4 linked regions of the Mus musculus genome follow. The protein of the gene in region 1 interacts with the protein of each later gene in a pairwise test. Links are inferred from orthologs where the notes say so. Each region holds a gene or a part of one and is shown in the gene's direction. Other genes may lie near its edges.

The links. The genes of interacting proteins can lie anywhere in the genome.
Region 2: the proteins of Abi3 (region 1) and Nupl1 interact in binary tests that used the Homo sapiens proteins (3 or more experiments, as listed by UniProt). The two-hybrid records come from large-scale screens. The link is inferred for Mus musculus from reciprocal best matches to the Homo sapiens genes ABI3 and NUP58.
Region 3: the proteins of Abi3 (region 1) and 9330159F19Rik interact in binary tests that used the Homo sapiens proteins (3 or more experiments, as listed by UniProt). The two-hybrid records come from large-scale screens. The link is inferred for Mus musculus from reciprocal best matches to the Homo sapiens genes ABI3 and KIAA0408.
Region 4: the proteins of Abi3 (region 1) and Was interact in binary tests that used the Homo sapiens proteins (3 or more experiments, as listed by UniProt). The two-hybrid records come from large-scale screens. The link is inferred for Mus musculus from reciprocal best matches to the Homo sapiens genes ABI3 and WAS.

The regions. Positions count from the first base shown.
Region 1 is NC_000077.6:95,834,328-95,841,018, reverse strand, and holds part of Abi3 (ABI gene family member 3), read left to right. Parts: exon of another isoform or gene 1-3,607; coding exon of another isoform or gene 3,608-3,781; coding exon 3,782-3,949; intron 3,950-5,064; coding exon 5,065-5,241; intron 5,242-6,627; coding exon 6,628-6,691. UniProt on the Homo sapiens protein: May inhibit tumor metastasis. In vitro, reduces cell motility.
Region 2 is NC_000080.6:60,243,451-60,250,141, reverse strand, and holds part of Nupl1 (nucleoporin p58/p45), read left to right. Parts: intron 1-2,675; coding exon 2,676-2,818; intron 2,819-5,478; coding exon 5,479-5,628; intron 5,629-6,647; coding exon 6,648-6,691. UniProt on the Homo sapiens protein: Component of the nuclear pore complex, a complex required for the trafficking across the nuclear membrane.
Region 3 is NC_000076.6:29,216,481-29,223,171, forward strand, and holds part of 9330159F19Rik (uncharacterized protein KIAA0408 homolog), read left to right. Parts: intron 1-1,472; exon of another isoform or gene 1,473-1,574; 5' UTR 1,575-1,639; coding exon 1,640-1,816; intron 1,817-5,305; coding exon 5,306-5,650; intron 5,651-5,740; coding exon 5,741-5,820; intron 5,821-6,691.
Region 4 is NC_000086.7:8,082,700-8,089,153, reverse strand, and holds part of Was (wiskott-Aldrich syndrome protein homolog), read left to right. Parts: intron 1-15; coding exon 16-118; intron 119-238; coding exon 239-280; intron 281-376; coding exon 377-430; intron 431-1,218; coding exon 1,219-1,393; intron 1,394-2,181; coding exon 2,182-2,224; intron 2,225-2,436; coding exon 2,437-2,590; intron 2,591-2,857; coding exon 2,858-3,312; intron 3,313-3,533; coding exon 3,534-3,648; intron 3,649-6,454. UniProt on the Homo sapiens protein: Effector protein for Rho-type GTPases that regulates actin filament reorganization via its interaction with the Arp2/3 complex. Important for efficient actin polymerization. Possible regulator of lymphocyte and platelet function.

The DNA.
Region 1 (6,691 bases):
TGATATAGTGTATGGCGCTGGACAGTTTATCTGTACCCCTGGTCCTTGGTTTCCTCTGCTCTAAGAGTGACAGACCAAGTCTGCAACCTCTTACTGAGCAAAGCAAAGCAAAATCCTAGCCAGACTGTGAGACAGCACCAGGGGCCTCCTCCTGTAGCTGGGGAGAAAAAAGACCCGAAGGCCTATGGGAAATGGCAGAGCAAAGAGGCAATGATAGGCAAGTTCTCTCTGCACCCACAGCCTCTATTTGTCCCTTCCCCAGTCCTACCTGGTGCGCACTATGCACACTTCACAATGAGAAAGCTGCCCTTTGGAAAGGGACTGTATTTCCTGATTCCTCCAAGGTAGTCACCAAGACAGGATTCGAACTCGGAACTATAGATGGTTGTGGTGGCCCATACCTGTAATCCCAGTACTTGGGAGGCTATGGCAGAGGGATCTTAGAAAGTTCTACCTGTTTTCTAGTCTGCATAAGTGAGTCCAAGCCAGTCAGGATTAAATAGCAAGATGCTACCTCCAATAAACCAAACTCAGCAAAGCAAAATCCCAAATCAAAGAGCAGCTAGGATTCTGACTCCTGTGCCCAGTGCTACCTTGAGTGTCATTCCAGTGTGTGTGTGTGTGTATGTGTGTGTGTGTGACACTGAGTGACCAGCCTGATGATCTGACATGTGGTTTATTACCAGTCCTGCCTGCCCTGCACTTAGGCATTCTCCTTCCCTGGCAGGGATGGAAATAGGCCTTTCCGTTCCATCGGTGTCTTCCCACACCTCAAAGTGCTGCTAGTGGGTGCAATCCCACATGTGTAATTTGTGTGCACGCAGGATCTGAAGTCACAAAGCTGAGTCACCAGGTCTGCCACCTATTTACGTAGAAATGTGTAGTATGTTTCCCATTGAGGGGTCTTTCTCTCTCTCTCTTCCTTCCTTCCTTTCTTCCTTCCTTCCTTCCTTCCTTTCTTTCTTTCTTTCTTTCTTTCTCTCTCTCTCTCTTTCTCTCTTTCTTTCTGTCTTTCTCTCTCTCTCTTTCTTTCTTTCCTTCTTTCTTTTTTCCATCCTTCCTTCCAATATTGCCACTCTGTAGCTCAGGCTGGCCTTGAATTTATGACCTGCCCAGCTTCCCCCCAAATCCCCCCAAAGACTATTCCAGGCCTGTGCTACCATTTGGGGGTGGGATGGGGTTCCAATTAAACTCTATACCTTCTCTAGGCTGGTTACAAGTACTAATTGGAACAGTGTGTTAAACCATTTGCCCAGGGCCCATCATCCTTTAAGAAGGGCAGAATAAATAAGTGTATCTGCTGTGGCTTCTATTACCATTTCAGAAGGATAAAAGGCACGTGCTAGTGATAAAGTCCCATTCTATCCAGGTGACAGCCTTTGCAAACACACTCAGGGTATCGGAAGCCCCGAGACCCAGGTTGGAATCCCTGGATTCTTTTGTGTAGAGTTCTGGCCCCTAGCCATCCCTGACTGTCTACAGAGGAAAAATTTGGGGTGATGTCTTTAATAAAGTCTCTGTCCCATCTTTCCCCAACTAAGTGTCAGAAGCCCATGCAGGAGGCAGATGGGTCAGCATAGGTCAGGGTTGACTGAGCGTAAAAACAGGGTCATTTGCATGACAGCTTAGGTGAAGGATCTCAGGCCCTTGCTCCTCCAGACCTGACTTTGGGACAAGTTTAAAGCTAGAGGTTAGTTAGAAACATCTGGGCTAGAGGAACCCAGAGCTGGGCCCAAACAGGCACCTTTCTTGTTTGGGTTGCAAAGTCCATGTGCCAGGCTGGGTACCAGGCAGAGGGAGCCTGTTTTCTTACCTATGAAACAAAGACCTAGAGCGAAGCCTGCAGCCCTCTCTAGCTTCTCTGCTTAGCCAATATTTTGGGTGGCATATGCTGATGAGATGTAAATTTTATTGCATATGCAGATGACATGTAAATCAGCACACAAATGAACATCGGTTTCCTGCTGTCAGAACAGAAAAGCAGGGAAGGGAAGGACCATGGCGCGGGTTTTTCCAGAAGGTTCTCTCTAGTTCAGGTTGCATGAGGGGAACCCAGAGGAATCTCACAGAGGATACAACTCTTATAGCACCAGTGGTGGGGCCCATGGAGCACACAAAATCCCAAGCAAGGAGGCCACAGGGGTGCAGCCTTGCCTGTCAGTACACTGCCCCTTCTAATTTGCCTTGGTCTCACCTCTACCTCCCCACACCACCCAAAAGGACAGGCTTCCGTGCTCATGGTTGACGGGAAAGGAGGAAGCTGTTTGGTGAAGCAAGAGACCCAGGCCTGAAGGTCTGGTCTGGGACCAAAAAAAGCCCTCTTTTGTCTTTAGCCACTCTCTGGTCATCCCTTTCCCAGTGACTGGCAGTGTGGCCCTGGCCAGTGTCTGGCATGCCGTAGGAAGCTGCCCACCTCGTGTTGGGTTCTCCTTTGGCCTGTCAACCAGCCAACAAATGCACATGTATTAAGTATCTTCTGTGTGCTGAGGACTATGCCAGCATAGGATGCAAAACGGAATGGACCAGCTCTGTTTTCAGGGTGTTGATATTTGGATGAGGGAGGGGTGAAAAGAAAAAGAAAGAACAGGGCAAATATGATACGTCATAAATGCGAGCTGGGTAAAAGCTTAGGGCACTGAGAGAAGTGGAGACGCTGGAACCATCTAGTGAGAAGAGCTCTAAGAAGTGTAGGCGCCAAGGCCCTGAGGTAGGAACACAATCTCTCCTTCTAGGGATTAGAACGCCAGGAGCTAGTGTGGCTAGAGAGAAGCAAGGGATGTGTGTGTAAGGCAGAAGATAGTATCTTAAAGCCAACTGTGCATGGGCGGGTGGAGATGTCACACACCTTTGATCCCAGCATTCAGGGGGCAGAAGCAGGTGGATCTCTGAGTTTAAGGCCAGCCTGGTCTACAGAGTGAGTTCCAGGAGAGCCAAGGCTACTCTGTCTCAAAAAACATAGTAGTAGTAGTAGTAGTAGTAGTAGTACCAGCAACAGCAGTAATGCCAACTGTGCCATGGCACACACCTCTAATCCTAGCACATAGGAGATGGAGGCAGAAGGATATCAGGAGTTCAAGGCCAACCAGCTTTGGCTACACAGAGAATGTGAGCCTATACTACATGAAACCCTGTTTCAAAAAAAAAAAAAGAAAGAAAGAAAAGAAAAGAAAAGAAGGAAGGAAAAGAAGCGAAGCATGTTAGAAAGCTGTCAGCGGCAATGAGAGGATGAAGTCATTTGGCTCTGGGACACGCTGCCCATCTCTCGGTTCCTATACACCTTCCTGAGGGTTGGGGCTAAGGAAGTGCAAGGTCAGTAGGGGGCTGTCTCTCCTGGCCTTACTTTGGTTTGAGGACTTTGGTTTATAGGTAAGAGCCTGCTATTGGCTGGTTGAGTTTTAAGTGGCTGAATGTCTCCCCTAGCCAGCATCGCCTTCCCCTTCCTGTCACCAGCCAGCCTGCCAGGAGACACTTGCTGAGGGAGGCAGTAGGGTCCTCTCAACTCTGGCCTCACCTCAACTACTGGAGGACAGGATTCCTGCCCCGACTCTCACAGCCAGTTCTCTCAGGCTGCGATCTGCTTTCCCAATGTTCCTTGCACTCTCCTCCCATGCCCCACTTACTCCAACACCATCCTTCTGGAAAGCTACCTCAGGCATCTAAGGACCGCAGCTTTCTCCAAGTTCAGCTCTGGCCTTCCTTAGATTCTCTTCTGGCTCCATCCGACTCTGCCAAGGAAGCAGTGGAATGTGCTGGCCTCGGGCCAAGGCTGTGTGTATTTCAGGCCACAGACAAGCGGAAGGCGCTGGAAGAGACGATGGCTTTCACCACCCAGGCCCTAGCCAGTGTGGCCTACCAAGTGGGTAACCTGGCCGGGCATACTCTTCGAATGCTGGATCTACAGGGTGCTGCCCTGCGGCAGGTAGAAGCCAAGATGAGCACACTGGGCCAGGTAAGGATGTGGGAAGGCATCCCTCTTTCTGTCCTGGCTCTTCAGTCCCACTCAAATAGCCCTACATTTCTCCATGCCCACCTGGCCAACCGGACTGCAGAAAGTTGGCACATTCCAGACTTTGGAGACATCTATCATGGCTGTGTCTCAGTGTTGTTCTTGCTACCCCATTAGATACAAAGTTTCTCTCTCTCTCTCTCTCCCTCTCTCTCTCTCTCTCTCTCTCTCTCTCTCTCTAAAAGCTTTCTTTGTTTGCTCTTCATAGTACCTGCAGAGAGCAGGAGAGACCAAAGGCCACCCTGTCTTCATTGGAACACATCCAATGATTAATAAATGCCCTCCACGCAGGCCAGGCAAGCCCATCGTCAGCCCCACAGGAATCCGTGCCAACACCATACAGAGTCCCCACCCTTGGCTCATAAATACCTACCCTTGGCTCATAAATACTCTCAGCCGTCCTTCCTGGATCCTTGACCCCACAAAACATGTGGGAGTTCTTTTGGTCTGACCATAGGTCCCTGAGGGGTCAGTGTATAGGGTGTGTTTTCCTCTTCTTCCTGAAGACCCAAGGTCCCGTCCCTCAAGGCCTGAGGGAACATTTGGAGAGGAAGCTAATTCCCGTACTTGTTCCCTGAAGGGGACAGCTGATTTAGTTACAGTTCTCTGCCACCTCCACGGAATGCCCATCTGCACCAAAGCCTGCCCTGTCCTTTGGTTGCTGTCCAGCAACCCCAGGGATTTTTTTTCCCTCCCTTTTCTTCTGGTTCCTGCACAGCTAATAATAACCTTCATTCTCTTCTACCCGGAAGTCGCTCCAAAGTGGCTCCATCCTCTGCTGCTCTTCTTTCTCCAATGGCTGCATGGCCATGGGACTCTCTCTGGTCCCCCCATGACCCCCATTCTTTCCTCCTCCCCTGCTTTGAGATGGGGGTTCTCACTATGTAGCCCTGGATAGCCTAGAACTCATCATATAGACCAGGTTGGCTTCAAACTCACAGAGCTCTACCTGCCTCCCTCTGCCTCCCGTTAGTTAGCTTTCTCCCTCTTTTAAAGGGAATGGTGTTGTACAGGCTGTTTCTCACGGTCTCCTCCCACCTCCCGACCCTGTCGTGCAGATGGTAAACATGCATATGGAGAAGGTAGCTAGAAGGGAGATCGGCACTTTGGCCACTGTTGTGCGGCTGCCCTCTAACCAGAAAGTCATCCCTCCTGAGAGCCTGCCTTCCCTCACTCCCTACCACAGAAAACCCCTCAACTTTGCCTGCTTGGATGACATTGGCCACGGAGTCAAGGTAAGGGAAACCCTGCTGACCCCCCACTGCCCACCCTGTCCTGCCGTACAGCTAGCTCCCTCTCGTCTCGCCTTTCCCCAAGCTTTTGTACGACCTCACATCCCCTTCTTCCTCTCCACACTCCAGGACACGTGGCCTAAACTCCACTCTCCCTAGGTCCTTAACTTCCCTCTACTCAGACACTGCTCCTGGAAGATCATAAGCTGTCCCGGCCCCACCCCCCACTCCCACCCCACAGTGGGTCGTGTGTGTGGTGTGTGTGTGTGTGTGTGTGTGTGTGTGTGTGTGTGTGTGTGTGTGTGTGAGAAGGGGAAGAGGGGGAGGAGGGGGAAGGGTGTCAGGGCACGCATGAGAACCTCTCCTCAGCCACATGAGAATAGCGACTTCCTCTGTCTGGGGGTTTGAGGTCATTGCTCTAAGAAGTCACTCCAGAATGCTGCTGATAGGGACAGGAGGCAGCAACAAAAAGAGTTGGCGGAGGGGACCTTATCACACTGTGCCCAACTGCTTCATGTCAGATTAGATTAGAAGCTTTCCTGGGTCTTAACCCCTTGATACTATGCCAGACCCCCAGGAGAGAAAATACCTCTTTCCTTCAGTTCCCAGCTCTCTCTATCCGTTCCTTTTTCCTGTCCAGCCTTCTTATCTTTTGTTTTTCTTTTGATGGTGCCCTGGGTGGAACCCAGGCCTTCTATAAACTCAGCAGAAGCTCCATCCTGAGCTATGTACCCAGCCTCCAACTTATCCTTTATCCTGTAATTCCCGTCTTGCCTCTAGTGGGGCAGGGTGACAGAGAACATGACCTCCCCCACACCATCCCCTCCCCTGCTCACGCTGGGGGAAGTCCCAGTTTCAGAGGTGTCTCTTGGCTTTGGGATTGCACCCCATCATTGAGACTCTCCTAAGTGTCTTGGCTTCTGCCATCCCTCTGCCTTGAATTTGGGGACGGTCACTTCCATAGGTTTCTGGGAAACAAGGAGTCCCCCCCCCCCCCGTATGTGAGGCTCCTTAGCTCGCGCTGGAGTACAAGCTAAATCAGAGCTAAGGACCACCAAGCCACCCAGATCCCTGAGAATTTGAGATAGTGTGGGGTTGCAAAGGGCAACTCAGTCACTGTGGCTGTGCAGAGGAAGTGGCCTTCAGACGGCGTCTGTGCTGCGGGTTGTTTTCTGTGGGACGGCTTTGGGGGACCTGCTGCAGGCCTAAGGGGTGGGGGTAGGGTTAGGACGGGAGGAGGGCTGAGAAGTGGAAGTAGGAACTTGCTGAGTCTGGCTAGCCCTCCCAGTTCTCGCCCTCCGCTCCCCTCCCCCATTTCCTCTCAGGGATGTGGGTAAGAATGCCTCCCCGTGTCCCAGATGTCAATCAACCCTATCGTTCTCCCTTCAGGACTTGAGCACGCAGCTGTCACGGACCGGGACCCTGTCTCGCAAGAGCATAAAGGCGCCTGCTA
Region 2 (6,691 bases), on another chromosome or scaffold:
ATTTTAATTATTTTTATTTAATGTGTGTGGGTGTTCTGCTTGCATCTGTGCATCATGGCTGTGCATTGCCCTTAAATACCAGAAGAGTCCGTCAGACACCCCCCCCCCCCAACCACCACCACTACCACACCACACCACACTGGAGTTAAGGCCCACTGTGAGCTACCAAGTTTTAAATTTAAAATGGAGGGATAGTTTGGGAAGTGGTGGTGCACGCCTTTAATCCCAACACTCTGGAAGCAGAGGCAGGCAGATTTCTGAGTTCCAAGCCAGCCTGGTCTACAAAGTGAGTTCCAGGACAGTCAGGGCTACACAGAGAAACCCTGTCTCGAAAAACAAAACAAGACAAAATATATAAATAGTATATATATTATATAAATATATATCATATATTTTATATATATAAAATGAAATAAAGTACTTTTAGTTTTAAGTCATGGGAGACTAACACAACAGAGTACTCCTGCCTTTACTCATCATTTGTAACTGCATTCTAGTTCTTTAAGAAGCTCCTTTGTCACTGTGACACTCTGCTTACTAGACATCGTCTGCTACTTGCCTTCCTATTGAAAGTATTCGTTTTAAGTGTTTAAATTGCAGCTTTCCCCTCTTGGGTTCCTAGGGTGTGCAGAAGACTGAATGACTCTTCTGGCTGACTGTGGGGTTGATAGTTCCTGGACCTAAGCAGCATGATATTCTGACCAGGACTGTGGTTGTCTTAATTTTAGCTAGCAATTGGTTGTTTTTTTAAATCGGAGCTATCTCTCCATCACCTTGCAGGTGGTTGGTGTGCTTGCCCATGCTCGCTTGAGTGCACGCGCTCTCTCGCTTGCTCTCTCTCTCATCTCTCTCTCTCTCTCTCTCTCTCTCTCTCTCTCTCTCTCGTGTGTGTGTGTGTGTGTGTGTGTGTGTGTGTGTGCGCGCGCGCCTGTGTATTTGGTAGACAAGCCTTCATCCCTGAGCCATGCCCAGCCTCTTTTTCAATGTTTTAAAACAAGTATTATGCTGCATTGAATGAAGGTCTTACAAGGTGGAAGTGCTGTCCTGTGGAACTGTACCCCATTGTTCCTTTCTACGTTTATTTCATGGCAGACTCAGAAGTCCAAGTTGACCTAGAACTCACTTGAAGCTTGGGTAGGCCTTGATTTGACAATCCCACTACTTAAGTAGCATATATTACAGACCTGTGCCACCAATTCTAGATGCCTTTTTCTTTTTTAATTTGAGACTGTCTCATTAAGTTGTCCAGGCAAACTTGAAATTTGTAATTTCCTGAATAACTGGGATTATAGGCATGCCACCGTACTTGTTGTGATTTTGGCTTTCAGAAGAAACAGAATTGGAAGTAATAAATACGTAACATGAGAAGTAAGAGTTCCCATTGTGTTTTATGTTCTATTAATTTTCCTATGTGATTTTTGAGGTATCAAATTCTTGAAACTTGTTGGTTATTTTTATAATCTTTCCCCCTATAGGTAGCAAACTTTGACCTCTAATGGTTGAGATGAACAGCTTTTTTTTTTTTTTTTGGTTGTTCGAGACAGGGTTTCTCTGTGTAGCCCTGGCTGTTCTGGAACTCACTTTGTAGACCAGGCTGGCCTCAAACTCAGAAATCCACCTGCCTCTGCTTCCCTAGTGCTGGGATTAAAGACGCCACAACTGCCCGGCTCCAGCTGTCCTTTATTTAGGTTTCCAGAAGCTATGTAAAGAGTTTCTTCTGTAAACATACAGTCTATTTTTTTTTTAAAAGATTTATTTATATTATATGTAAGTACACTGTAGCTGTCTTCAGAAACGCCAGAAGAGGGCGTCAGATCTCATTACAGATGGTTGTGAGCCACCATGTGGTTGCTGGGATTTGAACTCAGGACTTTTGGAAGAACAGTCAGTGCTCTTAACTGCTGAGCCATTCTCTAGCTCAACACACAGTCTTTACAGAGGACATGATACTTACTGTAGCAGTAAAGGAGCAGCAGTAACCTACCTAGAGTAACGTATGCATGTCTTTTTATGTGAGTCATTGTTGAACTATTGTAATTAGAAGTGTGGACTGTTCTCAAGTAGTTCAAAGGAAAAACAGTCATCTGTGGCCATTTAAAATATGCTAGGGGTCGAGTGAAGACTTGAGATTGAGAGCATTGTGTTCCTTGCTGATGTCTACTGTAGTCTTGTGATCTGACATCCTAATTGCAGTAGAGTGCTTTCCCAGCCTTGTTGTGTTCCTTGCTTTTGTAGTAGTGAAGTTTGAAATGTGCACTTGCTAAGCAAGGGCTACTGCTGCACTATGTCTCAGGCCACACTTTTCCTTAAATTTTGAGGTGTGGTCTTATTAAATTTCCCAGGCTGCCCGTGAATGCACTGTGTAGTCCACACGGGCCAAGAAGGTGTGATTCCTTTGCCTCCCAAATAGCTAACAGGTTCAGTACAAATTATTTAAGATGAAATGTATATTTATATTTATTTTTAAGGAGAAAAGGAAGGTGTTTGAATTTGTTAGGCGTATTTCTTTCAATGTCTTTTGGGTCATAGATTTTATGAGAGAAAACAATTTTAAACAGTTAATTTCTTTTTTTTAAATTTTTCAAAGTAAATATTAGCCATAGCAGACTTTTTTTTCTTTTTTCTCTCTCTCTCTCTCTTTTTTTTTTTTTTTTTTGTTTGTTTCTCTAAACAAGCACACCTTCTGTGGGACTCAACTTTGGATCTCTTGGAAGCTCTGTGACCCCAGCATCTACATCTGCTTCAGCTGGTGGTTTTGGAACAGGCCTCTTTGGATCTAAGCCTGCCACTGGATTTACTCTAGGAGGAACAAGTGCAGGTAAGGAGAATGGTCTTGTTCTTAGGGTAAATGAGATATTTCTTTCTTGGTTTCTGTCTTAGTCAGGGTTTCTGTTCCTGCACAAACATCGTGACCAAGAAGCAAGTCCATGTTGCTTTTCCTAACCAAAGGAAGTCAGGACTGGAACTCAAGCAGGTCAGGGAGCAGGAGCTGATGCAGAGGCCATGGAGGGATGTTCTTTACTGGCTTGCTTCCCCTGGCTTGCTCAGCCTGCTCTCTTATAGAACCAAGACTACCAGCCCAGAGATGGTCCCACCCACAAGGGGTCTTTCCCCCTTGATCACTAATTGAGAAGATGCCTTACAGCTGGATCTCATGGAGGCATTTCCTCAACTGAAGCCTGAAGCTCCTTTCTCTGTGACAGTCTCCATCTTCTGTCTTTATTTTAAAAGTCATCACTGCATCTCTGGAATTGGATGTTTGTATTGGTGAAGGAGCCGCTCCAGAGAAGCATTTGAAAGTTGTAAACGTGAATCAAGATGGTTTTTTTAAATTATATACTACAGTATTTTTCATTAGTAAAGATGCTTAAGGCAGTTTACCAATATGTTGTAAATTTTGATATTAAAATAGGTAGAAAGTATAGTTCTTTAGTTTCTGGCACACATTTGAGTGGTAGCTTTTTGGATGATAGTACCTTATAGCTTTAGTACTTCAAATATCTTTTTTATTCTCAGGGAAAATGCTTGTGTTTGTTACTATAATCATATATCAGTCTTATTACAAGTATATTATTCTCTGAAAGTGGAATCTAGAAGGAAACCATCTTCATTGATCATTCAGTTTGTCTTTTGTTGTCACTGAGAATAGCAGCTACAGCTATAAAGTTAATTCTAAGTAAGAATTTTTGAGAAGAGAACAAACTGCTTTTCTAATGAATTGTGGATTTTCTCCTCTTGTACTATTTCAGTGTAGGAGAAAGAATAATTATAAAGAACTTTGTATAGATCCCACATAATGGTTTTTTCAAAGCCTTTCAGTATTTGGGTATATAAAAACTGAATGCTTCAATGTCATGCCTTTGTAAGTTAGAGATGTATTTTAAACATAGGTAGTTTTGGATGTGGAACCAAAACTTTCACTAGTTGCCTTAAAAAAAAAATTAACCAGAGACAAGGATTAAACCTCACAGACAGGGGCTGGATGGCTCAGTGGTTAAGAACACTGATTGTTCTTCCAAAGGTCCTGAGTTCAAATCCCAGCAACCACATGGTGGCTCACAGCCATCCATAATGAGATCTGATGCCCTCTTTTGGTGTGTCTGAAGACAGCTACAGTGTACTTACATATAATAATAAATAAATCTTTAAAAAAACGAAAAAAACTTACTTAAAAAAACAAAACAAAACAACAACAACAACAACAACAAAAAACCAAAAAAACCTCACAGAAATAAAGGCAAGTGGTCTTCCACTGAGAGCTGTGCTCCCAGCCCCATAATTCTGTGATGTTATAGATAACTAAAAGTTTCACTTCGAGGACAGAACTGTTAACATCTTACAACTTTTCAGAGACAACCAGGGTTTGCTTCTAAGACTGTCACATAGTCTTTTTTCCTCTAAGGAGTCATAGACCTAAAAATGTAATGAACATAAATCCACATCCAAAACTACCTATAATGTTTTCCAGGGTGCCAGTAATCTAACAATATTTTTGAGATAAAATTAATAAGATTTGGAACTAAAGCAATGCAAAAGAAGGACAATGTGTCAGAGTTTCTGCCTTGAGTGATTGAATTGACTGGTGAGGGTATTAGCTGGCTTTTGTGTTGTGGTTAGATGCATGACTCAAAGGGACATCAAGATCCACCAACCAGTAGGGATTCAGGTAGGCATAGATTCAGGCTCATGGAAGGGTGTGGTAGTGCATGCTGTGCTTTCAGTAGTAGGGAGGCTAACACAGTAGTATTGCTGTGGATACTTAGTGAGATACTGCCCTAGTAAACCAAAGAAGCTGGTGCCAGTTAGGGTTAGATTCCTGTAGCTGTGGTTGGAATGATGAAACTGGAGAGATCAGTGGTGTAAGCAGCAGCAGAACTCTGGGAGCAATGCAGGAAGGAGATGTACAGGCAAAGCCTGAAAAGGAGGAGTGAGGAGAGGGCTTGGTACTGGAGTCCAGAGGAAGAGGATTTCCAGGAGTAAGGTCTGGGTGGGACAGGAGGGGCTATTTTTCTGTTGAGAGCAAAGCAGGTGGAGGGAATAAGTGCTACTGTACGAAAGCCTGGGGGGGGGGGGGGAATTGAAATTGATCACAGTATTAGAGTGGTTGTTTTTGCATTTTTCTTTGGTTGCTAGCCCCGCAACCAATCCCCACCCCCCTCCGCTTTCTGAGACAGGGTCTCACTGTGTTGCTCTGACTGTTTTGGAACTTATATACCAGGATACCAGGTTGGCTTAGCATTCAGAGATTGCCTGGCTCTGCCTCCTGAGTATTGCGATCAAAGGTGTGAACCACCACACCCATCTTTTAGTTCTTTTTCTTAACCCGAAGGTTTTATATTCACCATAATTTAGTCCTGACTTGTGTATCTCTATTCTACTTAGGGTAGATAGAGAAAAGGATCCCAGACATAAAATACTCATGAAGACCAGCATAATATCTGTATGATTAAGATAAAAATGAGATTTTTTTTTAAACAGGAACAGCAGCAACAACATCTGCGTCTACAACAGGCTTCAGTTTAGGATTCAGTAAACCTGCGGCATCTGCCACACCATTTGCCCTGCCTGTCACTTCTACCTCAGCTAGTGGTCTTACTCTCTCATCTGCTCTGACATCAACTCCAGCAGGTGAGACAGAATGGGAAGAAAGTTGAATTTGTTGGTTATAGTAAAGTTTTTTCCAGTTAGCGAGCGAATACCCAGTAACCATTTAAATTAAACAACTCAGGGGTGGGGAGATGGTTCAGTAGGTAAATTGTTTTGCTGTACAAGCATAAACACTTTTAAAAGCACAACTATACTTTGGGAAATTTATTTGAATTAGTTATTGATTTTGTCCTACTGATCTATTGCCTTTTCAGTCAGGTTTAGTGGTCCACACCTGTGATTTGGGAGGGAGCCACAGGGGGAACTTGAGTTTAAGGCAAGGATTGGCTAGGTAACAAGACTTTATCTGGAAAAATAAGTTAGCATTGGCTATTAAAGCTGTTATGACTATCTTGAAATATGGTCTCTACTACTTACATAATAAACAGAGTCAAAGGGTAGAGATGTTTTTATTGTCTGTTTTTAAGAGATTGTTAAGAGATTGGCAGAAAGTGTAAAGATGTTTGTACTTACCTAGTTCATGATTCATTTACTTTTAAAGGCAGAATTGTTGGCTGGGATTAAAAACTATATTGTTGTTTAGAGTTAGTTACTGGGTGCCATTGTAATAGCTCTCAAAGCTATTTTGTTGGATGAGGGGGAAATAGGGTCACTAGTTTCTGCTTTGAAACTACTATTACTCTTCACTACTATTACTCTTTATTCTGAGTATTTCCAAAAGTTTTTTGAGCATATAGTTTCAGATGTGTCTGAATTCTAGTTTTGAGAATGTACTCCTATTGTTTCTGTTGTTTTTGTTTTTTAAAAGATTTATTTATTTACTTTATGTGAGTTCACTGTCCCTCTCTTTAGATACACCAGAAGAGGGCATCAGATCCCATTATATGGTGAGCCATCATGTGGGTGCTGGGAATTGAACTCAGGACCTGGAATCAGTGCTCTTAACTTCTGAGCCATTTCTCCAGCCCCTCCCTGTGGTGTTTTAAAGTACTATTTCTGTGTGAAGGCTATTCATTTCTTTCTCTGTCTTTTACTTTCAGCATCCACAGGATTTACTTTGAATAACTTGGGAGCAACACCAGCC
Region 3 (6,691 bases), on another chromosome or scaffold:
AAAAAAAGAAAGAAAGAGAGAGACAGTGAGAGAGAGAGAGAGAGAGAGAGAGAGAGAGAGAGAGAGAGAGAAAGGAAAAAAGAAAGAAAGGAAAAAAGGAAGGAAGAAAGAAAGAAATGGAGCCCTGCATAAAGAGCTATGTTTTTAATTCCTTGTAGTCTATGATCATTCATTCATAATCCTGACAAAAGAGAAGCCTGACAAAAGTAAAGCTACCTTTGATAGTCATCTAACATGTGAGGTGTGAAATATGCATCTATCTGCTGCAAATCAAATGCCAAGTAATTCTTACTGCATAATCATGCAGACTTGATTCTGCCAGACACAGTACAGATTCGTGCATAAGGAACAGGAAGGCTGTAGCATTGTGGCCATATACTAATAATTATGCTAATTGATTAGTTAATGATAATTAGTAATTAATTAGTAAGCTGGAAAATGAGGGTTTAGGTGTTTTATTTCTTCTCTTTTGAGTGTGTGTGTGTGTGTGTGTGTGTGTGTGTGTGTGTGTGTGTGTGTGGTGGGAGGTATGTGCATGTGTGAGTGTGGGTACCCACAGATTTCAGAAAAAACTTTTGGATTCCTTGAAGCTAGAGTCACAGATGGTTTTAAGTCACCCAGTTTAGGGCCTGAGATCCAGGCTTGGGTCCCCCATAAGAACACTGTGCAATCCTAAGAACACTGTGTAAATCCTGACCCATCTCTCTGGCCCCCATATCTGGCATATTAAATGGTCTCTTCAAACCCTAAATATTCATATGCTGAATATTAGAAATCACATTATTTTGGTCATTACTTAGTGTAACATAAAAAAAAACATTTTCCTATAGTTATTGTTCCGTAACTATTTCCTATAGTGATATTGTAGACATAAATAGTCCAGGTGAAAAACAAGAGGTCATGAACAAGTTTTAACACATGTTAAAATTCTCACGGGACAATAATGATTCTTTAGATTTTATTTCAGGAAGTAAAATAATGACCTTTTCAAATTTAAGATTAGGTTAGTTTCTTGCTGAGACATGAGCCTCTCTAGGTGACTACCTGCTTTGGGTCTTGGTACATCCTTCCTACGTTACATGGGCTTGACCTCTGAACTCAGTTATTCTGAACCGGCTCACAATCTTAAATCTTAGGCATATGTAACTAACTTGTACTGACACTTAAAGAGTTAATTCCATTTTAACAGAATCAGCACATCTAGGCAACAGAATCAGCACATCAGACTCAAACTCATGAATATTTATGAAGAAAGTCTATTTTTAGATTAAGCAGTTAGGTAAAGAGATATTTATATCATGCATGTACACTTAGCCAGCTTGTTCACTATAATTTTCCTGTTAATATCAAAACAGAAGAAAGGGTCTTAGGACCCTTTATTGACACTTTATTGACTGTGTTTTTTTTTTAAAAAACTCCTTTATAATCAGATTTTTGTTATCTTTTCCCTTCTTTTTGTTATTCTTCTATAGTTTAATTATGTCATTGACGGTTGACAAAAATGATATGTTGGCAGGAAGCACACAAGCCTGGGACACTGTCTTGTTATGTTTATCTCAGGCTTTATTTTAAAGGCAAGTGAGACCACTTCAAACCAAACAGTTTAACACTTCCAAGAACCAGCTAAGAGAAGGCAGAGATGAGCAGCAGCAGTCCTGTGGCTGACACTCACACAATTGCCACGGACCTCCATGAGCAGAGGGGGAGCACAGAGGCCAACCGGCATAAGGAAAAGATGGAGTTACTGGACCAGTTTGACAAGGAAAGAAAAGAATGGGAGAGTCAGTGGAAGATCATGCAGAAGAAGATCGAAGAGGTAAGGCTTGATTTATTTTAAATGTAGTGTTAAGTGCAAGCTTGAAATTAGAAGCCTGCTGACATGCATTTTATATCAGGAAGTGCTTTTGTGTTTCTTCTTCCACCAAAGAAATAAATGTCTTATGAAATTTACTAGAACAAAACTCGCTCAACTCAACTCCACCCGGTGGTATGTTTGAGACTACATTTATTTTATAATCTCGTATGGAAATGAAGACTTTGTAAATGTTATTCTACAATACATGAAATTTCTTATTCTCTGAATTCAGATGCACGGTACTGAAAGTAATGTATATATTCTGTATAAATGTTCAGATACTAGAACCTAGGAAGAAAATGCAGGAAATAATTTGTGGGACATATAGTGTTAAGATTATAACTTGGCACTAGAATAAAGAGTTTTCCTGGGATGATATCTGAGTAATGTATACCAAAGGATGTCAAGTTATTCAGCAGCATCAAAACGTATGCCATATGCCAAATAGAAAAGCAGCAGTGGCTACTTTTATTTTATTAGATTAATACCGACAGTGGTCCTCACATGCTAGCACACTTACTGGGAAATGGGTTATTAAAAAGGCATGCCATGGCTCTGATGTAGTCAGTGATTGTATTCTCCTTAATAATCTCCCAGTCAGCCCATACTTTGCTCTGAAATATTTCTTCCTTTGGTGGGTGTGCATTCAAGCTTCCTCCAACTGAAAGTTAACTATATTTATTTTGCTCTATTTTATTTAATACACAGAATTAAATTTTATGGTTTATTTAACAGATTGCTGGGCCCTTTTAAAAGCATATAAACAAAGTTAGTGCTTTGTATGTTTGTAACGCAAAAATACTTTTTTTCTGACTAACAACAAATAAATAGGTTGGGAATAAAATACAGAGTGAAAAAGTGGTCCACTAAAACAGAAAGCAAAGGAAAGGGACTATTACGTCCTTCCTCTAAAATAAGTTGAGATATCTATGATTAATGATTCCTTTGTGGTGCTCTACAAATTGGAAAACAGTTTCTACTTGCTTCCTTCCCTCTGTTCTTACCCAGGGACTTCCTACCTGTAGTTAAGACAACATTGTTGAGAGTATTCATAGTGTCTGTAGAGAAAATCTCAATCCTAGAAGGGTGTCTTCCTCTGGTTATGTAAATAATGATCAACAGTACGTAATGCTACGATAAAATGCTGGTAAAACAGAGGAAATAGTTTCACAGGTTAAAGAAAATAGACACTTGTTCTGAAAACTAAAAAACAAAACAAAACAAAAACACAATCATATAATTTTGAAAGCATAATGGAGTATTTTTGTTTAGTAAATATATTGTTTTACAAATATAGCATTTTGTTTAAAATTAATTGGTTCTAGGTTTTAATTTTTTTCAGGATATTGAGCCATGTACTAGAGAAGTGTGGATTCCCACGTATGCACCTGTAAAATCACCTGTAGTATCTCTTAGTGAAAGTATCCAACAGTGAGCATGGCGATGCTGTGCCTCTCTGCTGAGCCCATGTCCCCACGAATGTCAATGGCTATTGAAAATCCAGGATGTACATCCTCAGACCATTTGAAACTTAGAATAAACTACATATGAACTAGGATTATGGATACACTGAATTGATATCATCTTGAGAGTTTTCTGTTCACTTTGCACTCTTTACTGTTTGTATCTTTTCTGCTTGTGTCCTTTGTTAGAACAGTCATTTAGCTATTGACAAGGGCTGAGTATCAGCCCCTATACCAAGTAGTTCTCCACTCCTTACTGTGTACTAGGGTTTTTTTTTTTCCATTTCTGGACCAAATATCCATGAGAAGAAATAACAGCATAAAATTACATTATAAGGTAAATTACACCATAGCTATAATTGAAGGCTGAGATGAGTACAGTCAAGGGTCTTTCTGGGACCTAATATAGTTATCAGATGCAGAATAAAAAGCCATGTGTCATAAATAGCACAGTTTCCCCTGGATTTGAAGATATAGCCATCTCCTATTTATTCAGAAATCCCCCTCCCCTTTCGGTTTTTCAAGACAGGGTTTCTTTGTGTAACAGCTATAGCTATCCTGTGTCTTGCTTTGAAGACCAGGCTGGCCTTGAACTCACAGAGATCTGTCTGATTCCCAAGTGCTGGAATTGGTGAGCACCACCATATCCAACCTATTCAGGAATTTGTAGAAGAGAACACCACCACCAATAATATCCTTAAATGTATCATGGCACTTTGGGGGGATGTTCTTTATATCACTCATGTTGAATAGCAATTCAGTAAAGATAATTTATAGGCATAATTTTGTAAGCATCTAAACAATCAATTTACTATTGTAGTTTGGTGGCTTTCTTATATTAATCAATGAGATGAGTGATTAAAACTTTTATGAACTAAAAGCACCATGTATTCTTAATGTATTAATTATGTATGGTGCTTCTGTGAACTAAAGTATGTATAAATACTGAGTAAGTATATTGTTATTACAGACATTTATTGTGTTTGTGAAATATAGAGACATTTGCTTTCGAGTTGTTTGACTGTCTGTTTTGAAATATGATGAGCATGTCCAAGGTGTAAGCCTTAGGTGAATGTGTGTTCCTTCTTCACTTTATGGGTGAGCTAACAGAGTAGCCTCTGATTTGCATAAGTCCTCCTTAAGAAATAGTTTGGGATTGTCTTTAACAGAGGCAGTCAATGTTTCAAGCTTTAGAGCTCCGTTTGATCATATATAACACTGATGAATTTGTTTTAATCAGAATAAAGAACTTTTAAAAATGAATCTGTATCATTGTATCAATCAAGATATCACTGTAATATCTATACCTTGATAATTCAGTTGACCCACTGAGGGGATGATTAGCAAGGGCTTAGTTAGAGGGGAGAATATATTGCTTTACTGTATGATATGGACAGCTATTTAGACAGTTAATGTTGCTATATAATAGTGTAACAGTAAAACATATGATTTTATTAATGTTAAACTCTTGTTATATCCAAAAAGCACTTAGAGAGAACAGTCAGTAATTGATACAGCACAGTGTAATTCTGTGAATGTACTTTTTACATTCTGTGTAGATCCAGACTTACTTTATTTGACAATGAGTTGATTTCTCATCAGAAAAATAGAATGTAATGTCCATGCATTGCCTTACTAAAATTAGTCTTTATGGTTTATGGTTCCCCAAAACTTTTCTGGCTAATTCCTATTTTAGAGACACTGCCTATATACACAAGCATTAACACCAATGGTAGTACACTGTAATATTGCAGAGAGAACTCAAATGATTTGCTTAGTATTAGGAATATTGATCAAAGCTGCGAATACTGGCACACAGCTTTATTTCCAAGTCACACAGGCAGGTAGATCTTTAAGAGTTTGAAGCCACTCTGGACTTCAGAATTTGTTCTATGCTACCCAGGGCTACAAAGTGAGAATGCCTTTAAGAGAATTCATTGCTCAAGTAAATTAGGAAAAATAAGTTTTTAATTTTTAATTTTTACAGCTTTGCCAGGAAGTAAAGCTTCAGAGGAAGATGAACATGAATGAATATTCTAAGGTCATTGATCTTTGCCGTGATCAAGATAAAATGGAATTTCCCCCAAATCACCTCAACTCGGCACAATGCAAATTAAGAGTGCTGAATTACCGAGATGATCCAGAAAAGGAAAAGAAAACAGAAAGGAATTTCCTTGGGGAAGAAAGTCAAGGGTCTCCAAAACAAAACATACACACAGAAACCAAAGTGGAGTTTTGGAATCCTTTGGCCACAGACAGGAAGGCATGTGAGACCTGGGCTGGTGAGAACACTTCTAAGGAGAGCAAAGATTTTTCTGTCGCCCTTAACACAGTAAGTAAGATGGGGTCAGCCGGGAGCTATTTCTAAAGAAGCATTTCAGCACGCTAACAAAAGCTCTCTTTTATGTGCTATGCTATGAAGGCTCTTGAAGAACTTGCAAAAGTTAGTGAAGAATTGTGCACCTTTCAAGAGGAAATCCAAAAGCATTCTAACCACAGAAGGTAGGCTGGCTAACACATATGATCTCTGTAGACCAGAGAATAGAAAAGAATTCTGGTTTTATTTTATGAATTTACACTGACTCATCATGTATATCTTAGCTCATGATCCTTAAAAGTCATCTTCCAGTACTTTTCATAACTTAAGTATTAGGAATATTGTATTGAGCCGGTGCGGTGGCGCACGCCTTTAATCCCAGCACTCGGGAGGCAGAGGCAGGCGGATTTCTGAGTACGAGGCCAGCCTGGTCTACAAAGTGAGTTTCGGGACAGCCAGGACTATACAGAGAAACACTGTCTTGAAAAAGAAAAAAAAACAAAAATAAGGAATAGTGTATTGTATTCTTTCAGTGTTTAGGCAAAGTAGACAGTCTGTACAAAATGACTGTGTATCCTCTACTGAAGTTCTTTCTCCATCAGAGTTTTGACCAGAGGGGGAATATACAAATAGACAAACCCAGTTAAATTGGCTTAAACTGTGACAGCTTTAACAATGTGGTGTTTGAACAATTTGAGATGTTCTATTTAAGCACTTTAAAGCTGGGTCATTTATTTCTCAACAGTGATGTGGATATGACATAAGCAAATGTACATTTCAAAATAACACATTATATGTCTACATGGCCCAATCTCTTGTATTAGGTCAGAATCACTATGAAAGCTTAAACTAAATTCTAGCTAAGTTAAAAAAATAATAATTTAGAATTATGTGCATACTAAATATGTATTATTCTTTATCAATAATTAGCTCATTGAGAAATCTGATATTCTCTTAGAGTGAGGTTCCTTATTATTATTTAGCTGTCTGGAAATCGCGAATTTCTGTGCTGACTTGCAGTAGAGTTTGTTAGCCACTGGGCACTGCCCCCTCTCT
Region 4 (6,454 bases), on another chromosome or scaffold:
CCAAGGCATGTATAGGACTGTCAAGTAGGACTGAACTTTGCGGATGAGAGTGAAGCCCAGGCCTTCCGGGCCTTGGTGCAGGAGAAGATACAAAAAAGGAATCAGAGGCAAAGCGGAGGTAAGGAGGCCTTGGTGGGAATTGGGGGGAGGTAGGTTAGACAGAGGTGAGTGCACGGGTGTGAGGCTGGAAAAGCCCCTCTCATGGTTTTGGCTCTCAGTCCACCCTATTTAACCACAGAAAGACGCCAGCTACCACCACCACCAGCACCAATCAATGAGGGTGAGTCCTCTCGTTCAAATAAAGGTTATGAAGAACTAACCCAGAGATGTGGGGGAGCAAGATTAGGGCAGATCTGAACTCATTCCATTTTTCCAGAGAGAAGAGGAGGGCTCCCACCTGTGCCCCCACACCCGGGTGGAGATCATGGGGGTAAGTGGCAATTCTCACATCACTGGAGAGATGGTGGGGGTTAGTAGATGAATGAGTACTTGAGTCTGTCTGTAAATTCATAAAGAGGTGGATGGTGGGTGGACAGATGAGCACGGTGATAGATTGGTGGCAGACATGGCTAAATTGGGAGATGGACTGATGATGGCTTATAGATAAATAGGTACATGAGTATTTGGGTAAATGGATGAAAACTTACTTGCATTTAAGTAATGAATAGGTGGTTCAGAGAATTCATGAATGGGCATGTAAACAGATGAACAGTGGACAAAGAGGGCCGCTGAGATGGAACAGCGCTTGCCACCAAGCCTAGACACCATCGTTCTAGCCCCAGAATCCACATAAAGATAGGAAAGAAACAATTCCACAAAGTTGTCCTCTGACCTCCACACATGTGCCTTGCACGCACACACACATAATATACATTTAAAGAATTCAATCACAAAAGTGGGATGAGAGAATATTCTATCCAAGGAAGATCAAATGATTAGGTGTGAATGAATGAATAACTTAATAAGCTTTTTAGCCAACCAGCCAGAGAATGGATGAGTCAGTACTTGAATGGTAAAGACACATGAATTGGTGACTCTTTCAGTGTTTTTTTGGGATCCATCCACCGCTCTGTAGGCCTTGTTTAGACCTCTCTCATCTGTTTCCTCCATGTCCATCAAACATATCCACAAACTTCTCCAATGAGCTTTCTATTTCTTGCCCCTGGGCTTCGGCTAGTAAGTGCGTTGGCCAGTGGTTCATTCACCATTTTTCCACAGGCCCATCAGGTGGTCCACTATCTCTAGGACTTGTGACGGTCGACATTCAGAACCCTGACATCACAAGTTCACGATACCGTGGGCTCCCTGCACCTGGCCCTGGCCCAACTGATAAGAAACGCTCAGGGAAAAAGAAGATCAGCAAAGCTGATATCGGAGCACCGAGTGGATTCAAGTGAGAACTTCTTCCCGTAGGATCCCAATGGGTGGGAAAGCATCTGAGCTGAGCAGAGGGAAACACAGGCAGATGGGTGAATGGGAAGAATTAATTAATGGGCTGAAGAATGAACGCGCAGGTGATTGGTAGGAGTGGGTAGGTAGATGGGTGGGTGAGTGGATGACGATACAGATAGATTATGCAGGGATAGATAAACTGGACAGTCAAGTGGGTGAATGGATAGCGTATGATGAGTTAACACACATGTGGAGAGAACATGTAAAAATGCAAATGGATTGCCAAGTGTGGTGGGGCACTCCTGTAATCTCAGCACCTTTGAGAAAGAAGCATTATGGACAAGGGTTCATGGTGGCTCACAACCATCTGTAATGGGATCTGATGCCCTCTTCGGGTGTGTCTGAAGACAGCTACAGTGTGCTCATATACATAAAATAAATAAGTCTTTTAAAAAAAGAAAACAGCCCACAGATGAGAAAGAAAGTGGAGGAGGGGAGGAGGAGGAGGAAGAGGAAGAGGAAGAGGAAAGAGCAGCAGGGAGGAAGGAAAAAAGTAAATATGGGAGTAGATGGGTAGGCAAAGATGAAAAGAGAAATTGGTGGGCAAATTTGTAAAATTTGAGCAGATGGGCGGAGGGACAGGGACATGGCCAAGCCATGGTCTGACAGATGAATGGTAACCAAAATATTCGCTCACTTGCTCTGGCTTTTTGGAGGCCCTCTGGGAAGGAGAGGACAAGGGGTAAAGAGGACCCTGGGGCTTGATTGCCATCCCTTTCCCTTCTCTAGACATGTCAGCCACGTGGGCTGGGATCCCCAGAATGGATTTGATGTGAGTAGCTCCAAAGACGCCCCCCCCCCGAGCCCCACCCAACTTCCACATACTCTCCCATTGACCAAGGCTCAGAGCCCATATCCAGACCGAGCCCTTCCCATAGCCCTCTTGGATACTTGGCTGTTCTGGCTATGGTGATAATCTGTACCCCTTCCTAATTCACTTTCTGCTTTTAACTCTGCTCTGCCCTTTGGTTCCCGCTGGAGCAGGTGAACAACCTAGACCCGGATCTGCGGAGCTTGTTCTCCAGGGCAGGAATCAGCGAGGCCCAGCTCACTGACGCAGAGACCTCCAAGCTCATCTACGATTTTATTGAGGACCAGGGAGGTCTAGAGGCTGTCCGGCAGGAGATGAGGCGCCAAGGTAAGCACCTTCTTCTCTGGTCCTGAAGGTTGTTATCCTAGAAATGTGTAAGAAAAAAATGAAGCTCAAGCCGGGCGTGGTGGCGCATGCCTTTAATCCCAGCACCTGGGAGGCAGAGGCAGGCGGATTTCTGAGTTCGAGGTCAGCCTGGTCTACAAAGTGAGTTCCAGGACAGCCAGGGTTATACAGAGAAACACTGTCTCGAAAAACAAAAAAGTGAACCTCAAAACTTAATGCACACATAAATGTCATTTTACCCCTCTGCAGAGCCACTCCCACCACCTCCGCCGCCATGCAGAGGAGGAGGAGGAGGAGGAGGAGGAGGAGGAGGAGGAGGAGGAGGAGGAGGAGGCCAGCCTCTGAGACCTCCTGTTGTGGGGAGTAATAAGGGTCGCTCAGGTCCACTGCCCCCTGTACCTATGGGGGGTGCCCCACCTCCACCAACACCACGAGGGCCCCCACCACCAGGCCGAGGGGGTCCTCCTCCACCACCCCCTCCAGCCACTGGACGATCTGGACCACCACCTCCTCCACTCCCTGGAGCTGGGGGACCACCAGCACCGCCACCACCACCACCACCACCACCACCTCCACCCTGCCCTGGGAGTGGGCCCGCCCCTCCCCCGCTCCCTCCTACTCCAGTGTCTGGGGGGAGCCCAGCACCTGGTGGGGGCCGGGGTGCACTTTTGGACCAAATCCGGCAGGGAATTCAGCTGAACAAGGTAAAGATGGGCAGGATAGATAACGGGGGATCTGTGTAAGTCAGAAAATTGTGGACCATGGTTGAGATTCTGGGTTTTGGGGGAATCCAGTGATAAATTGGAGATCGGTGTGGTCCCTTGAAAGAGACTGGAGTGTGTGAGAGAAGAAATGAAGAAAGGGCAGGAGAAGTGCTCTTCTCCCAGTCCTGAGCCCTCCTCTGTGCGCCAATCTCTTGCTGCAGACCCCTGGAGCTCTAGAGAACTCAGTACAGCAACCACCCGCGCAGCAGTCAGAAGGCCTAGTAGGTGCCCTGATGCATGTCATGCAGAAGAGGAGTAGAGTCATCCATTCCTCAGGTGAGCCTGCTGTGCCAGAATTGTGACCTGACTCCCAGGGCTAGCTAGAAGTGGCTTGCAAACAGCTCCAGGTATTGTTCTTATTGGTGACACTAGGAGGCCCATGTATGTGGTGAATATATATATATATAAAGTCGTCAGGCAGCAGTATTATAATTAAGTGGAGTGGATCTTTGGCAGTAATATTAACATATGCCAGGGTATTCCCACAGTATGAACATTAACCACATACGTTCAGTGATCATTAGTTGCGTGACAAGACTTTTCTTACCCTAAATAGGGAGCCCATGACAGAGCGAAGTACCACCGAAGTCCAACGTGGTGAATCAATGAGTTTTATTGGGGTCACTTACAGGAATATGGGTGAGGGGTTATTTACAGGAACAGATGTGATTCAAGACAACTGTATCACCAAAGCCCAACACAGCATGGGTGACAGCTCATAAAAGCTAGGAGCCTGGAGCCTGCAGGCTGATAACAGGCTGGGAAGTGTCTTTCCCAAGTGACTCTGGTCTAAACCTCTTCCAGGCAGCTGGTCTGGTCTTCTTTGTGGTTGGCATGTCTTGAGAGTGACTCACAGTAGTCTTTATTGCTTATTCTGAGAGGAAGGGGCCTGGTGAATCTGGTCAGTTCCAGAGGCTTACTGAAGCCATTTTGAGTTGTTTACCTTCGGGCTTAAGCGGATGGAATACTTCAATCTTCATCTCAGAGGAAACTGGTAGACAGCATTAGCTCATCACGTGAAAATTCTGTTATAAAGCACTCCATCTTTGGTTAAAAGCACTGGCTGCTATTCCAGAGGACATGGGTTCAATTCCCACAGCCCAGATGGTAGCTCAAAACTATCTTTAAACTCTTGTTCCAAGGGATCTGGCAGTGTCTTCTGGCCCCCACAGCCACCAGGCACATACTCGAGGCACAAATGTACATGCAAGCAAACACTGATGCATAAAATGATAAACTTAAAAAAATAACAACTCCATCTTAGCTGAGGTGGTATGGTGGTACATGTCTTTAGCCCCAGCACTTGGGAGGCAGAAACAGGTGAGTCTCTCTGAGTTCAAGACCAGCTTCATCTACATAGAGAGTTCCAGGGTAGCTAAGGCTACATATGGAGACCCTGTCTCAAAACAAATCAAAGTGTTTAAGGGATGACTAAAAGGCACCTGCTGCCAAGCTGGATGACGTGAGTTTGAGTGACATCCAGCATTCATATGGTGGAAGTAGAGAATCGGTTCCTGCAAGTTATCCTCTGACCTCCACATTCACACATGGACCCACACACAAATGAATAATGACATAACTTTAAAAAGATGAACCTCCATCTTTGGCAATCACATTACCATTAAATCCAATAATTCACAGAAGCACATCAACTCATGGTATGCTAATATAATTAGTCATTTTGGGGCAAAGGTATGTAATGATGCGTCATGAATGTCCACATCATCGTTGTACAGGGGCCATGCTAATCTTTGTATCACTCCATATGCTCTGTGTGTGCTGTCAGACACTAGCCTAGCCTTTCTACGATGTTAAGAACTGACTGTGCCAATTATATTGTCATTAACCCGGGATGTGGGGATAATACTAATCTTGACCTAGTTCCAATAGGTTGAGAGCAGGTACCCAATAATGTCATTAACTCCAACTTCACAATAATATTAATATTAACCTAAGTTTGTCTGCAAGACTAATGTGAATTCATTGTGTGATGATATTCTAACAAATGTCATTTGACAGTATTCTCATTAGCTTCATTCTGAACTGGCAGTATTAGCATAAATGCACCAAGAAACAGTAATAAATTACCCAAGTATTGCTGATGTTTAAACCTGCCATATTTAGCAACAAAGGAGTTAGAATGAATGTTCAGACTAAGAACATGTGGTTGTTATGTGAGGCAAGGTCTCCTGCAGCACAAACTACATGATATTGAGCTTCGGAGCTTCGAGATTCCACCTCCCCGGGGCTGGGATGACAGGTGTGCAACACCACTCCAAGTTTCTGTGGTGCTGGGAACCGAACCTAATGCTATCCTGGAACTCACTCTGTAGACCAGGCTGTCCTCGAACTCAGAAATCTGCCTGCCTCTGCCTCCCAAGTGCTGGGATTAAAGGCGTGGGCCACCACTGCCCGGACTAATGCTTCTTAAACTGTCTAACCACTGAGCCACATCCCTAACCATGTGTACTTTGTACTTTCTTCTCTCTCTCTCTCTCTCTCTCTCTCTCTCTCTCTCTCTCCCTCTCCCTCTCCCTCTCTCTCTCTCTCTCTCTCTCTCTCTCTCTCTCTCTCTCTCTCTCGGTTTTTCGAGACAGGGTTTCTCTGTGTAGCCCTGGCTGTCCTGGAACTCACTTTGAAGACCAGGCTGGCCTCGAACTCAGAAATCTACCTGCCTCTGCCTACTGAGTGCTGGGATTAAAGGCATGCACCACCACGCCTGGCTCATGCGTACTTTCATATTTATTTGTTGGTTTTGTGTCTGTGTGTATATTGGTGCACATGTGCATCTGACATGTGTGTGGGGTTTCTCTCCTTCTACCTTATGAGGCCTGAGGATTAAACTAAGGTTGTTAGGCTCAGAGGCAGGTGCTTTTATTTTTATTTTTAAAGGTTTATTTATTTATTTTATGTATAAGAGTACACTGTAGCTGTCTTCAGACACACCAGAAGAGGGTATCAGATCACATTACAGTTGGTTGTGAGCCACCACGTGGTTGTTGGGAATTGAACTCAGGACCTCTGGAAGAGCAGTCAGTTCTCTAAACTGCTGAGCCATCTCTCCAGTCCCTTTTCTTTTTTC